Linked DNA regions of Astyanax mexicanus. The main gene of each other region encodes a partner of the protein of the gene in region 2 in a complex. Links are inferred from orthologs where the notes say so. Each region holds a gene or a part of one and is shown on either strand. Other genes may lie near its edges.

Region 1 (7,579 bases), on a different chromosome or scaffold from region 2:
TGCAAACTTTTTTGGGCCAGGTCCCCCCCAGGCCCCCTGACCTCAAGGCCCCACTGGCCGCTGTCAGTAATCCAGCCATGGTGATGTACTGCTAATGTTACGTTCAAGTTAAAATGACAAGAATGGCTAATCATATATATCTTACTGTGCACAACTGAACCAGCTCCAAATGTCTGCTTAAAACACACACATTCAGATCATAAAATAAACAATAAAAAAAACAATAAAACAGTTCTGCTTACCGTTGTCCTGCCCGAGTATGAGAGAGTACATGCTCCGCAGCCCAAACACATTAAGGAAATACCAAGAGGCTGAACTCACCCTGTAAAAATATATTTTTAACATTTTATTTTTAAATAATAATCAAAAGAAGTGTCTAATCTCATTTTCTCTTAATCGCTTTCATAATCTGAAATCATTGCCAGAAAAATTTGCATGACTCAATATATACGCCAAAACCTTGTATCTCCAATAAGGGAATTTTAAAAAAGAAAGTAGAAACATTATTAGCTTTCAATGAAAGTCAATGTACAAACAACTAAATGGAGATACGTTATTTTTTTTCGTGACCTTAACACTATAGTAATATAGGAGTTTAAATATTATACCAGGACGCATCCAGCGACAGCAGTTCAATCCCTCTCTGCAGCATCGGTTTAAACCTCAGAGTCAGTGGAAAGGGAACCTTAGCTGTGGGTGGAAAAAGCAACAAAATACTTTAAGACTATTTCCACAATCAAGAATCAAGACTTTCAATATAAAGATCTTTATTCTCAAAGTCCTCCTGATAAAACGCTACTTTAGCAGATCAGTGAATTTTATTTGAAAGAGTCATAAAAACTGCAAAGTTTCAAGAAATTACTTTTTTAAAAACCCAGCTTTTCCTCTCTCTGTTAGCATATGTCTCTCTAAATGGAGGGAAACACTGATTATGCTGTATGGATTGACTGTACCTCAAAGAGAGAAAGAAAAAACAAAAATTACACTACTCCTTACAGATTTTAAATCTAAACAGAGCATTATTATGTAATAAATGATAAAATACAATTTATTCATATGTAGAAATCTGAAATCATGCTATCTGCAGATGCTGTAGTTTTAAAATTTACATGATTAATTATATAGGGAATAATGTATGAGATTTAGACAAGAAAACATGCATTTGATGTGATGTGAGAGTTTAAATAAGGAAAAATAGGAGTTATCAGACAAAAACGTAAACGTGTGGACGAGGGCTTTGTGTCTACCCTCCTCTCAACCCACCTCAGCCTCAACAGAAGCAGCTAATTTACAAACCCCTCTAAGACGATTTAGACCTGGAAACCCTCGAAAATGTGCTGGGCAGAAGGTACTCCAGCTCCAGGGTTTAAAACAACTCTTTGAGAGTCTTAGGAGACTCAGGATGACCAACTTGTACTCACTAGTGACAAACCCAGAGAAAGCCCAGTTGATCCAGCCACCGATTACAATCATTGGCAGCACGTTGGTGAGATTTCCTTTCATCATGTCAGTCAACATGCTGGTATCTGGAAATAGAATTCAGAAAATGTAAAAAGATCTTTTCCCACCAAAAGTGATTCTGTTTTAATTCACAGCACCCAATCAATGTTTACATCATCAGCGCTTACCAGTCATAGGATTTTTGGGCACCACTTTCCTCTTGACCTTCTTGAAGAAACCCGTTTCAGCATCGTTAAAGTAATGTTTCCTCATGGCAAATGACTGGAAATCAAACAGAGATTAACAATGAGCAACAGAGGATAAACTTTCCAGATCCAGCTGCTGAAACTGGGCCCAGAATCTGCCTGTTAAAAACTGGATATGATAATCTACTTAAAGTTGCTTCATCTTATAGAAAAAGATTACCTGTTTAGGGATGTACTTTCCATTCTCTCTGAGAACGCGGCTGCGTATCAACACCTGGCTAAAAAACACATTATAACATTAAAAAATAAATTAATGAATGCATGATTCAGTACAGAGTACAGAAAAATGTCATTATAATTAGTTATTATATCATAACTGAGTAAACAGAATAGAGTTAGTTCAGCACTGTCTAAATAAGCTAGTTTTGTATAATTTTATCAATTTTACCCAGTCATAACTAAGTAAATTATCTACATAAAATAGTTTGGGTCGTTTTTGATAAATTTTACCCATTTGCAACTGCTAGTTGTGGGTCATTTGATTAATTTTACTCAGTCATAACTAAGTAACATAACAGTGTAAATAAGCTAGTTTTAGATAATTTTATTAAAATTTCCAGTCATTACTGAGTAAACAGAGTAAAGCTAGTTTAGCACTGTCTAAATAAGCTAGTTTTGGGTACTTTTATTAACTTTACCCATAACTAATTAAACAGTGTAAATAAACTAGTTTTGATTAACTTTACCCAGTATTAACTGAGTAAACAATCTAAATTATATAGTTTGGGGAAATTTGATCAATCATACCCAGTCATAACTGAGTAAACAGTGTAAATAAACTATTTTGGGGAAATTTAATTTCTTATACCCAGTCATAACTGAGTAAACAGTAAAGCTAGTTCAGTACTGTCTAAATAAGCTAGTTTTGGGCCGTTTGATTTTCACCTAGTCAAAAATGAGTTGATAATTTAATAAGCTAGTTTTGGGTCACTTGAACAATTTTACCCACTCATAACTGGGTAAACAGTGTAATTGAGCTAGTTTGGGGTGATTTGATCAATTTTATCCAGTCATAACTGAGTAAACAGAGTAGATAAGCTAGTTGTGGGTTTGGGTTTGAGTCAGAGGTCCTCTCACCTGTCAGAGACTTGCTCCAGGTCCACTTTCTTATCACTCTGTAAAAGCTGAGTGACATAATGACGCAGAACTCCAACAAAAAACGTGATAAAGACAATGGGCAGAACTACCCACAGACGAATACTGGAGTCCAGCAGCAGCTCGGGTCCAGCCATGTTTGGAGAAAAGTTAATATTAGCTATCTAAGCTAACCAACCTAAACTTTTAAACTCGGGTCAAGTTAGCATATAGCATTTATTCTACCTCTAATTTAAATTACTGTACAGTACTAATAATATAAATAGTGACTATGCCTTATAAATACAACTTGAAAACTAAAGAAGCCCCGTGAGCCTCATTGTTGAGCTATTGAGCTACTTAGCTAATGTTAATTATGGTCTAGGACACGACTTCGCTACCTTAGCTAGGCTACAGTGCTAAGCTAACTCTGTACTCTGCAGGAGACGCAGCATGGCACGGCCAGAGAACGTATAGAGCGGAGAATACCCACTTAAAAATCTACTGCGTGTTTGTTCAACCACTAGAGGGCGCTCCACAGTGAGTCCAAAATGAATGGACTCATATGGAGCAATTGAGCAAAATCAGTTTAAAAATAAATTTATAAATGTTTGATATTGTTTACACTGAAATAAATACTAATTGGCTCGACCCAGAATATATTAAACGTTTCAGTACCGCAGATATCCAGTCAAAACTCCAGTATACGCCTTTTAAACGTGCTCAGTTTGACTCCACTATGACCAACATCTCTTACCAACCAATCAGCACACAGTAGTTAGCAGCATTGCTAGCGAATCTGTTGTCCAAAACCTGTTTGCTGTAGAAAAAGGAAACATACAGGCATATTTTCTTTACATTTTTAGAAATTATTTAATCCAATTTATAAAATTAAAGGAATGTCAAGAATTAGTGAATAGTAACTATTTTTTTTTTTTTTTTTAGTTTTAGTTTTTAGCTGTTAGCCCTATTCACATCCATTCATTTTGGACTCAATCTTCTAAATAAATAAATATAATAATAGATGTGAAATATAGATAATCGTTTAAATATCAGAGCAATATGCGACCAATTGCTATTAATATGCTATTAATATGATGTTATGTTTTATGTATTTTTTAAAATTTAAACTAAACAAAAATGTAAGCTAACGGTAACGAAAGAAGCTTAATGATTTGGGTCTGATTATTATTTTAAAAATGAACTTTTGTATATCTTTAAACACAAAAATATTTTTTTCTATAATACAATAATTTGTATTTTCTGTATGAAACATAAAGGAAAACGTGAATACATTTGCTAAGCTACAATTTAAACAACTGAATAAATAAAGCCTGAGCTCTTAGTTATTAAATTATTTAAAATGTGTTTAAAATTTCTAACAAATTGGAAATATCGTTTTGTTTTTTTATAAAGTAAATATATTAACGTTATTTAAATATGAACACCTGTATTATTAAAAGTATTATTAATAGTATTTATTTATTATTATAATATACCAATCAAAACGTGTAGCATATATTTTCTATTTATATTCTGAATTTTTAAATCAGTTTTAAAAAAATATAATAATAATTAATTTAAGTTCCTCTCGTTTCCTGCTGCGTGTCATGGCTATTTCCGGTATCTTGTAAACAACCGCTTTACTCTCACATGGCGCAGGATTACGCGAGGCAGATCAGTAATTATTAGATATTTACTCGCAGGAAAAGTGTTAATATCTCAGCGTGTGTGTTTTATGAAGCTAGTTAACCTGTCAGTCCTGAAATAACTGCTAGCTAACTAGCCTAGCTAGCCTGTTAGCAGGTTCTCAGCTGTCAGCTTCATTCTGCAGCTCAGGAGAAGAAAAACCTGAATTTCGGTGTTTTAATGAGGTTATTCTAGATCCAGCTTGTTTTTTTACCGTGCCACGTGGAAACTGCAGCTGTAACTAAATTAGCAGGATGACTTCTGGTAATCTCAACATCGACGACAAAGTCCTGCAGTATGAAGCTTTTATCAGTGACGTTCTGAAGAGAGATTTACAGTGAGTAGCTGTACACTGACATGAGAAATTTGTTTATTTAGCCTTTATATACATCACACTGTGTTGTGCAGATGTTTCAGGCACCTTGGTACCTTATTGGTGCTGAAAACTTGTGGATTCTTATTTATTTATCCTGTACAACAGAGAAAACTGTTTCATCAGAACATTTGTGACTACACTTGAAGATAATTTTAAAGTTCTTTAAAATTGTTCCTTTTAAATTGCCTGACCTTCATTTTTCTTAAACATTTGTCTTTATTTTATTGAGTAGTTCTTGCTTCTCATAATATGAATTAGAACATTACTCAAATAGGGCTAATCAATGTATACCTATTCTACCGCTTCACAACTTTACAACTGATTCTTTCAAACACATTATTCAATTAATTAACAAGAAATTAAATGAATTAACTTTTAATAAACTAATTTAATGTCATCTGCTGGTGTTGGTCCACTGTGTTACATCAGGTTCAAAGTCAGTGCACTGTTATCCCGGAAGATCTTACAGCGGATTTCATTATCCAGCAGGACTTGGCACGCTGCCCACTCTGCCAAAAGGACCAGTTGGTCTATTCTAATTTTATAGACTGAATTTGAAGTTTTCATTGGCTGTAAGCCATATTAATCAACAATAATATAAATAAAAGCCTAAAATAGATCAATCAGTGGACTGCACTCTCCTGGATTGCATGTCTTCTGCAGACTGTTTGTAGGCTTTCTTTTGCTTCAGTTTTAGAAGATGGCTATCCAGACTGAGTTAATATAGTATGAATCCGATGGTCTGAGCAATGACAGGCTCCAATGTCTTCATCCACTGCAGCAATGCTGGCAGCACTTATGTGTCATTTTTTAAGCAAACATCCGGATATGGCTTATATAAAATTTGAACCTGTCCTGTTAAACCGCTGTATGAACTTGGCCACTGTGCTGTAGCTCAGTTTTAGTATGCTAGCATATGGCCATCTTTGTGTAGAGCAACAATTCAGTTTCTCACATCCTCAGAGAGTTCTTTATTATGAGGTGCCATGTTAAATATTCATTTGCCATTATAAGAGAACCCCACATTTAACACTCATGCTCCCCATTCACACCTGGCCAGATAAGATGCTTTTTAATTCTAATGTTTTGTACTGCATTATATTTATATATATATAATGTAACTGTGCTTGTTTTATCTAGGACAGTGTTGGAACAGAGAGATGGAGTGTATGATAAAATATCACAGTATCTCCAGCTGAAGAATACAATCAAAAGTATTCAGGTACACTTTATTGTATTTTATTTGTTTCTAGTTTCACTGCCTCTCAACTGCATTCAAATCTGTACTCTCATGTAAAAATGACCAAAAAACAGAATACCGGTATTAACATATTCCAGTAAGATGAGCATCTAAAAGTAGGCCACCGTGTTAAAACCACTCCCATAGCCTAAAGGAAGATACACACACCTAACAACCTCACTGTGCATGTTTTTCTCAGGATTGGTTTTAGTTACAGGATCAGATTCGTTTTTTCCTGATTCATTCATGCATTTTCTGCTGATACTGACCTACTGATATTATGTATCTGCTCCATAGCTTTTGTAAACTGAGCAAAAAGGAGCACTTGCACTTTGCAGTTCAATAATTATAGACTGTAATCCTGTGGTTCTGTCTATCTGCATACTGCATTGCCAAGATAGCAATGAACATCTGACTGATGACTATTGTCTAGGTTGTTTTTAGTTCGTGGCACACCTGTGTTTTCTGTTGCTAAGATAGCAATAAACGAGAAATGTACCTGAACACACCTGAGGTACATTTACCTGCTTTGTCATGGTCTTGAATTGGGGTGTGCCAAATTGCATCGTCGCAATAATATTGCCAATGGTTTTGAATATCATGATCGATATTATATCTTGAAATATTGTGCCATATCACACACCCCTAATTATCACATCAGGGTACTTTTTTTTTAACTGTTTTTAGCAAAAACAATTTCAAAAATCACACTGAGCTCATTTCCCATTATATATCTCAGTTAGGGGTGTGCCATATCATATTGTATGCAATAATAAAATTACATTTTCATTTTGTTGCAGTAGTGTTTTCTTAAAATTATTATTTTTTAATTCCTTGTTTTGTCATATCGCCAAGAGTATCGATATTGTAAAATATTGTGATATTATTTTAGGGCCATATCGCCCATCCCTAGTCCTGAACATTGGAGAACAGGGTAATTTGAGGCATAGTAAAGTATAAAAAGAAACAGTGTCAAAGTGCTCCTATAGTCCCAGTGAACCTGATAACATGCACATTAAGTGAAATACAAAGAACTTGTATTATCATTAAGGCAGATTGCTGTATGTTCTCACCACTTCTGACTCTGTAGCCTTTCTTACCTTTCAGGAAGCTGACAGCAAAGAGCTTAAGACAGATGTAGACCTTGGCTGTAATTTCTATGTTCAAGCTCAAGTGTGAGTGTGGTTTCTTTGGTTTCTCTCGCTCTCAGCGCTCTCTGCCGTGTGCATCTCCATGCCTGACTGATGTGGATTTCTTTCTGTTTCAGACCGGACACTTCTAAAATCTTTGTTGCAGTTGGGTATGGGTTTTTTGTTGAGTTCACACTCTCTGAAGCGCTGAAGTTCATAGAAAAGAAGACCAAACAGCTTACAGAGTGAGACATGCTTACACACACACACACACACACACACACACACACATATATATGCAGTTTATATGTTGTTTAACCCAGATATAGAAAACATATGCACAGTCAAAGTCAAACCACTAAGC
Region 2 (7,616 bases):
TAAATATATAAATCATGGAAAATCTATAGGTTAATGTATACGTTTGTGGACATTTTTTCTAATAGATAGAACCTCTGCTGACATTGTTGTGCAAGTGCACACACAGCTTGTCTAGTTCCTGCCAATAGAATAGGATTCCCTGGAGCAGATAAATATGAACCTTTTTGGTTCATTTGCCAGCCACTGGCTAGGAGTGTAAAGACCCCAGAGAAAGTGTGCTGGAATGACACTTTTTAATGGGATGAGTTGAGGAGTTGGGCATAAGGTGGCCGTGATCAAACAGCATCCAAACATCACTAATGCTCATCACTAAACTCAATCAAATCCTCATAGCAATGCTACGAATAAACACTATTTCAGAAGAAGCAGGAACTGCAATACTTTTTTTCCATATATGTTCGAAAAGACAAAAAACAATATTTGATTATAAAACATTATGCATTGGGATTGTGTGGCAGCTAATGTAAGAGAATAGTTCCTATTTACAGCACTGAAAATCTGTGGTTCGATGTTAAACATGACATTTACACAAGACACCTCAACATTGATGTCTGATTTATTTGATGTTTGTAAAGCAGTATTAAACTGTAATCCTAATCACAAATTGTAAAGGTTTTAATGCTGTCCTTATAAACTCTGGAGCACTGGGGTTGACAAAAAGACCAAAGAAAAATGTTTTGCAGAAAACCTGAGGACATGATTCCAACTAAAACTAATAAATCGTACACTTAAATGAGAAAGAAATAAAATTTCACATACGCCATTTTTAATGTTTTTCTCCCATCGTACAGACATATTCCGCAGGTCAAACAGCTTGATGTCTCCATTGTCGTAACCAGCACACACACAGCGGTCCTGGTCATTAAAGGCGTGACCTTTCAATGTAACATAAATAAATAAAGATTTACAACTAAATGGAGTAAAACATGTTTGTGCTTGTTGGCAAACTTTTGACATATTAACTGGATATAGTGTAAAATACACACCAAAAGCAACTGTCCAACAATCTCTCTTAGTTTCTCCTTCGACTGGCTCCATGTTTGCCACAGGTGTGTCCTTTTGTCTCGGGTCCCACACCTTAACTGTACCTACAAAAACAAGTCAAAATACGTACGCCTGATTACAAACTACTGTTCGTACCTAATAGCAAACTTTCTATTGTAGTGTGCATCTCGAAAGCAGTAACGCATACCGTCTCTGCTTCCTGTAACGATTTCTGGAGCACCATCTCCAATACCTAAACCTCCAACGCCATCAACAGCGTTCACTATCTCCTTATGGGCTTTCACCGAGTAAACCGGGACATCCGGCGCTTCCAGATTCCTAAACAAACATTCATACTTCAGTCAGCCTGTTAGTAAAAACTCTAACATACTAGAAAGAAAAAAATTTAAGAAAAAAAAATTATTAATACCACACGTGTAGATTTCCATCAAAGTCTCCTGTGGCCAAATGCCTCTGCTGGAGAGATGAAGCTCCAAACGTCCCACATTTTATGGGCTTGGTTTTCTCCGTCTGAAATACAGAAACAGAACACAAAACTAAGCAGTGCTAATGAATGCAGTCATGAGCATGTGTGCGGATCAGTACACTACATGTAGGATTAGATTAAATGTAACTTAAGATCATAAAATCATGAGTACATACAAATGTTTAAATATATACATTTCCTAGAATTTTGATCAGCACTGTGGGGAACATAAGCAAACACAGTCAACGGCCATCGTTGTTAGTAGGGATGCACCGAAACTGGGATACTCAACAAAAATAACAAAAAAAAAATCAAGTAATAAGTGTTAAGTAAAGCTAAAGACAAATTTATTCTGAACAGTATTGTGTTTTGTTAGAATCTCTGCTTGGAAGTTATAAATATTTAAAATATCGAGACACATGCTGCATTCATTGTTTCTGGTAATACAAGTTCTAAATAAAAGTTTATCCTGCTTTTATTGTAGCAACTGTGACATCTGGCCAGGAAAGACTTTCTACTAGATTTGGAGCAATGCTGTGAGGATTTGATTGCATTGGATGACAAAAAGAGCTACTAAGTGAGATATCATAGAATTTGAAGTGAAGAGAGGTGGAGAGATTAATAAAGGAGTATGGGTGGTTGATGAAGCCCTAAAATAATATCACAATATTTCATGGTATTTTCGTGATCACAATACTCTTGGCAATATGACAAAACACTGAGTTATAAAAATTATTACAAGAATACACTACTGCAACAAAATGAAAAAAAAAAAAAAAAACTTAATCACAGTTTTCATGCATCTTGGCATGTTCTCCTCCACCAGTCTTGCTCACTGATTTTGGATAACTATATGCCACTCCTGTTGCAAAAATTCAGGAAGTTCAGCTTGGTTTGATGGCTTGTGATCATCCATATTCCTCTTGATTATATTACATAGTAAGTTTACTAAAATTTAGTAAAATCAAAGAAACTCATCAGAGTTGTATATTTCAGTGTTGTTTTCGTATCACACGAGGACGTGGCTGCTGTAAAAACACGCTGAAATATATTATCAGAGCTGTCCCTGTTAATCCCCGTTGCTATGACAACCGACAGCCGGACTGTTCTAGAAATCTCAGAGACATTAGCGAGTTACAGACCCTCTAAACTAGAGAATCAGACACTTTTACAGCGATACAGTGATAAAGAGCTAGAGTTCACCTCTTTAACGAGCTTTATGTCTCCGTGCTGCAGCTCGTAGATCTGCATTAATCCGGTTCCTCTGCAGGAACTTCCCAAACACACGAACTTCGCGCTGCAGGGAATCCATTTACTGTCGAACAGCGAGTAATTCAGACTCTTCTGACTGTGGGAGACAACTTGCGGCTTGTCCAGTGGAGCCGACATCCCGCTCCTACCGCTATATAACTTTACTATATAAAATATATATTTATACAGCTCTACACACAGAGCTCCACTATACAGAACTCAGTTCTCTACTCTAACCTGAACTAACTAACGTTAACGCTTCAGTGTTGCACTCTGACCGACCGAGGACCCCTGAACCAACACCGCAGCTGTCCACAGAACTGCCTGACCGCCCGGCCCATACAAATATTTATTTTTCAGACCACATCGTAGACAGCCCTGCCCTCAGCACACTAACTCTATTTCATTTCAATCTTAAACACAGTTTAATCACATTTCTCTCGGTGTTTATCTCCCCTCGCCGCGCTGCTCCCGCTTTTATTCAGTCCGGCGTGTTCAGACAGCTCGGCCCGGGGTCCTTGTGAGTAGAGTGAGGGAGCGCGTGCTACAGGTAAACAGGGAGTTATTAATTCTCCTGTTTTTATTGAATCTGAGGAATAAACACCAAACCCTCCAGCATGGAGACCGCGGAGAGCACGCTGCCCGAGCCGGGGTTTGAGGAGGTCCGGGGGAAGCGGCGGGAGAAGCGGAAGAGAGCGGCGCAGGACGCGGGCATGGAGAGCGACGAGCCTGCTGCGCCCAAGAGGCCGCAGTTCCCCCCCATATCAGGCGATTTACTGCAGGTACAACACTGACCGGGTTCTGTCCTGTGACCCAGGTTAATAACCAGGCTAATAATCGGATTGACTCCGACGGTAGCTGCGGGTTTATTTATAGAAATGTCAAAGAGTTTCTGAGGGCAAAGCCATACACGTGTGCTGTTTTGCGCATGCGCAGATCCTCAGCATGAGCAGTAGCCACGGTACTTGTTAGCAAGTGTGTTTACTAAAAAAACTTAACCTAACAAAAAATATATAAGCGCTCTAACAAAGTTATTACACCTAATGGTTATGTGTACACTACCCCATAAAACCAAGCACACACGTATCCAGTAGAAGTCAGAGACACGCTGTTTGTTCAGGCTCGTTCACACGTGTCCAGATCGATAATATGTGGGCTTTAAATCCTGGTTCCATAGGTGTTCACACGTGTAAATAAGATAATGTCTAATATTTAGGTAACGTTACAAGGATGGATACAGCAGACAACATTTTAGCTAGCTGTAATCAGGTTGTGTTTATCAGTGTTGTTGATGATGATCTATTAATATAAGTTTGAGTCTCTGGTATTCTCGCTCAGCTCGTCTAAGAGCCATTTCGTCACTTCCATCTCTTCAGTCAGAATGAGAGAGTTAGTGTACAGGAGTTTACAACACTACAAAATAAGTGTTTTTATTGTTGTTGTTTTGTTATCTTAAACATATCTGGTTTGTTTTTCAGGGAGGTGCTGATGAGATGAGGAAAATACCTGTTCCTTCTCACCGCTACACACCGTTGAAGGACAACTGGCTTAAAATATTTACCCCCATTGTTGAGAACCTGCAACTTCAAGTCAGATTTAATCTCAAAACAAGAAATGTTGAGATTAAGGTAAAGACAAATTATTTCATTAAATGTGGTTGTGAAAGGGCTTGGAACTGTGAAACTCTTTCATTATTCTTCCTTTTCGTAAATGTATTTATTTATACATTTTCAGACGTGCAAGGAAACACAAGATATTGGTGCGCTCACGAAAGCAGCAGACTTTGTAAAGGCATTTGTTTTGGGATTTCAAGTTGAGGTGGGTATTTAGACACAGTATTTTGAAGATTACAGTGCAGTGAAAAAGTATTTGCCCTATATAGATTTCTTGTTTTTGCTTTTTTTGTCATACTTACATTTTTCAGAAAAAAGATAACCTAAGTGAATATATAAAAAAAACAGTTTTATTGCAGTTGTTGATGCCAAAAACACATCTGTACGGGGCAAATACTTTTTCACATCACTGTATATTTATGAATTACTGTGAAAAATAATTTTTTGAACTGTTCCTCAGGATGCACTTGCACTCATCAGACTGGATGAACTGTTTTTGGAAACATTTGATGTCACAGATGGTAAGTCTAATTTCAGCATTGATGTGCATTTACTCCTCGTAATGTCTCATTTGTAAAGTGGTTTTATTTGTGTAATTTTAGTTAAGCCTCTGAAAGGAGATCACCTCTGTAGAGCTGTTGGTAGAATAGCAGGCAAAGGAGGAAAAACTAAATTCACTATTGAAAACGTCACCAAAACTAGGATAGTCCTGGCAGACACGTGAGTGCATTGTAAATGTTTGTTCATTTTTTGTTTAATTGAACAGTTAATTGCTTATTTTAAGAAAAAATATTCATTTGTATGTGTGCTAATAAATACATTTTATCTTTTATTTTTGCAGGAAGGTTCACATATTAGGATCTTTTCAGAACATAAAAATGGCACGGACAGCTATATGCAATCTCATTTTGGGTAAGTAAAGGCAGGCTGGTGGCTTTTAACCTGCTCCTGGAGTATTGGAACACCTGACATTCACTGTTTCTTTTAAATTTATTTTAAATAATTTTAAGTGCTTTTGTTGGAGTAAATTCCAATTTATAATTCTGCATCGAACCTACGCCATAACCCGACGCACACCTCCCCAGAAATGTAACTATAGAACTCTGACAGCAGCAGCAGCAGCTGTGATTGGTCTACTGAGCTTTGTGTTCCTGCCTTCATGGTTTATACTGCAGAGTGATTCAGAGTCGTGTACACATGAATACAGAAGAATAAACATGCCCACTATGTCAGGCTCTCACGCAGACTACATTGTAGGCAATGCGTTGACTTGACTCAGAAGTATAAACCAGCCTTAACTGTGTCTCCTGTGCAGGGAAGACTTTATACTTAAAACATTTCTTTGAGCAGTTAATTGCATTTAGCTACATAAGCTTCATCATTTTAGAGAACACAGTTCCACTGTGTAGCATTAGGTATGGGGTGAAAAGGATCATGTTTTATCTAGTCCTATTCTATTAGCATCAAGTACTCTACAGAGACTAGACACACTGTGTGTTTGTGTTAGCACATCCGTGTCAGCAAAGGGTGCAACATAGATTACCTTAATGTTTTTATACTGTTTTATATGTCCAAAAAAATAATAATTTAAACCGTAACCTAATACCCCAACCTTACCCAAATAAAAGAAAGGTGTTGGATTTGAATTGTAACGTGCTGTAAGGGAGCTCTGTGGGTGAGGTTTGGAGGCCACTGAGCTGTGTGTGTGTGTGTATGTGTGTATAAGAGGTTGGGTGATGAAATGGATGGTTAGTAACTGGATTGATGTTTCCTTTCACCTCATCAGGGAGCCCACCATCAAAGGTGTATGGGAACATCCGAGCGGTTGCCAGTCGTTCAGCTGAGAGATTCTAACGCTGGCTGGATTTCTCTGATCTGGGACCTGTGGTGCAGCTGATGGACTCATACAGAAATGTGGCAGATTAGACACACAGGAACACGGGTCTGAAATATACCCAACCGGAACTAAAGAACTGTCCCGTCATTTCTGACTGTCTGATGGATCAGTAATTTCTGTAAATATTCACTTAAGAATTGATCAAAAATAAATAAAAATCACATAGCGCTGGAAAAGAGGCAACTCATAGATTCAGTGAGAAATGTGATATTTTAAAGATTTATTTTCATACAGTATCAAGTCTGTGTATTCCCACAGTAGGCAATACAATGCAGCATGCAGAGTGAACATCCCACACCTGAAATGTGGTGAAATTCCCATTCCATCAAAGTAAAGCTGGAGTGAAGTTTACTTTCCCCATATAAATGATGTTTTAATATTAAAAAAAAAAAACCCACCACAACCAGTATGTAAGATCTTCTGTTTGACTGAGTAAATCCCAGTCAGGTCCCTGCCACTCTAATTTAATCAGGAACATTTTAAAAGAAATGAGTTAACTAAACATAGGCAACATCCATGATTCTTAGATATTTGATATTAACATCACAATCTAAGTGTAAACAGTAGGAGTGCTGTAAATTGGAAAACATGCAGAAAGGAAAACGTGCATGCAGGCACTGGAGAAGCTCCAAGGGTTTCAAGATGCACAGAGAGCTGCAGTTAAAGAACGATGAAGGAAATACAGAGAGTGATTAAAGAGGAAAACCTTCTTTCCCCTCAGACTCTAAACTTGTCATGCGGAAACTTTCCAGTGTATTGCAGTCCCACCTAAACATTAAATTCACCATTAACAATGGAGTTATCATTTTTAATATGACCAGTTTTTTGCAGTAGATTGATTTGATATATGCTCACTGATAGTATATTAGGACTATTTCAGTGCACCTGTTTTAAAAAGACCCTAAAGAAGACGATGTTTAGGTAAACTATGAACACAGCTGTTTTCTTGGCATCTGTTTCTGTTTGACTGTTTCACAAGAGTTAAACACAAGTTACTCTGCAATAATATAAATATTTATAAATAAACAATCTATCACAATTGAAAACGGTATCATGGAACATGATTAAATGCAATAATGATAAATATCGCATACCACAATGTGTAAAATAAAAAACAAAAATGTTTTTGGCTTGAAAAAAAAAAATGCACCAAACATGTTTGCCCAAAAAATAATAATGACAGGCAGTATTTACGTAAAGTTTGTCAATTCCATGTTCTGATTGGCACATCATAACCAAGGTCTGTACGGATACTGAATATTATTTTTCTCCTCTGAAAACAAGTTAAATAGCTGATTAGAAAAAGTTACAGACAAAATAAATACTTCAAATAATAAATAAACATTACAAAACAAAAAATGAACAAGCCAACCCGTCTTCCCTT

Evidence for each region.
Region 1: dnaaf10 (region 2) and uxt share a complex: the UniProt entries of both Homo sapiens proteins name them as parts of the PAQosome complex. The link is inferred for Astyanax mexicanus from reciprocal best matches to the Homo sapiens genes DNAAF10 and UXT.

The regions. Positions count from the first base shown.
Region 1 is NC_064419.1:3,787,355-3,794,933, reverse strand, and holds the start of uxt (protein UXT), read left to right. Parts: upstream 1-4,383; 5' UTR 4,384-4,723; coding exon 4,724-4,806; intron 4,807-5,985; coding exon 5,986-6,067; intron 6,068-7,192; coding exon 7,193-7,260; intron 7,261-7,352; coding exon 7,353-7,460; intron 7,461-7,579. Other genes in the region: zgc:86609 (ER membrane protein complex subunit 3-like), read right to left, coding at 243-322, 609-690, 1,422-1,526, 1,629-1,722, 1,867-1,924, 2,784-2,938. UniProt on the Homo sapiens protein: Involved in gene transcription regulation. Acts in concert with the corepressor URI1 to regulate androgen receptor AR-mediated transcription. Together with URI1, associates with chromatin to the NKX3-1 promoter region.
Region 2 is NC_064414.1:16,653,669-16,661,284, forward strand, and holds the start of dnaaf10 (dynein axonemal assembly factor 10), read right to left. Parts: upstream 3,114-7,616; 5' UTR 2,861-3,113; coding exon 2,675-2,860; intron 1,516-2,674; coding exon 1,415-1,515; intron 1,324-1,414; coding exon 1,193-1,323; intron 1,089-1,192; coding exon 987-1,088; intron 876-986; coding exon 760-875; intron 1-759. Other genes in the region: RNA-binding protein PNO1, read left to right, coding at 3,340-3,504, 4,201-4,350, 4,457-4,540, 4,796-4,856, 4,938-5,055, 5,177-5,247, 6,122-6,189. UniProt on the Homo sapiens protein: Key assembly factor specifically required for the stability of axonemal dynein heavy chains in cytoplasm.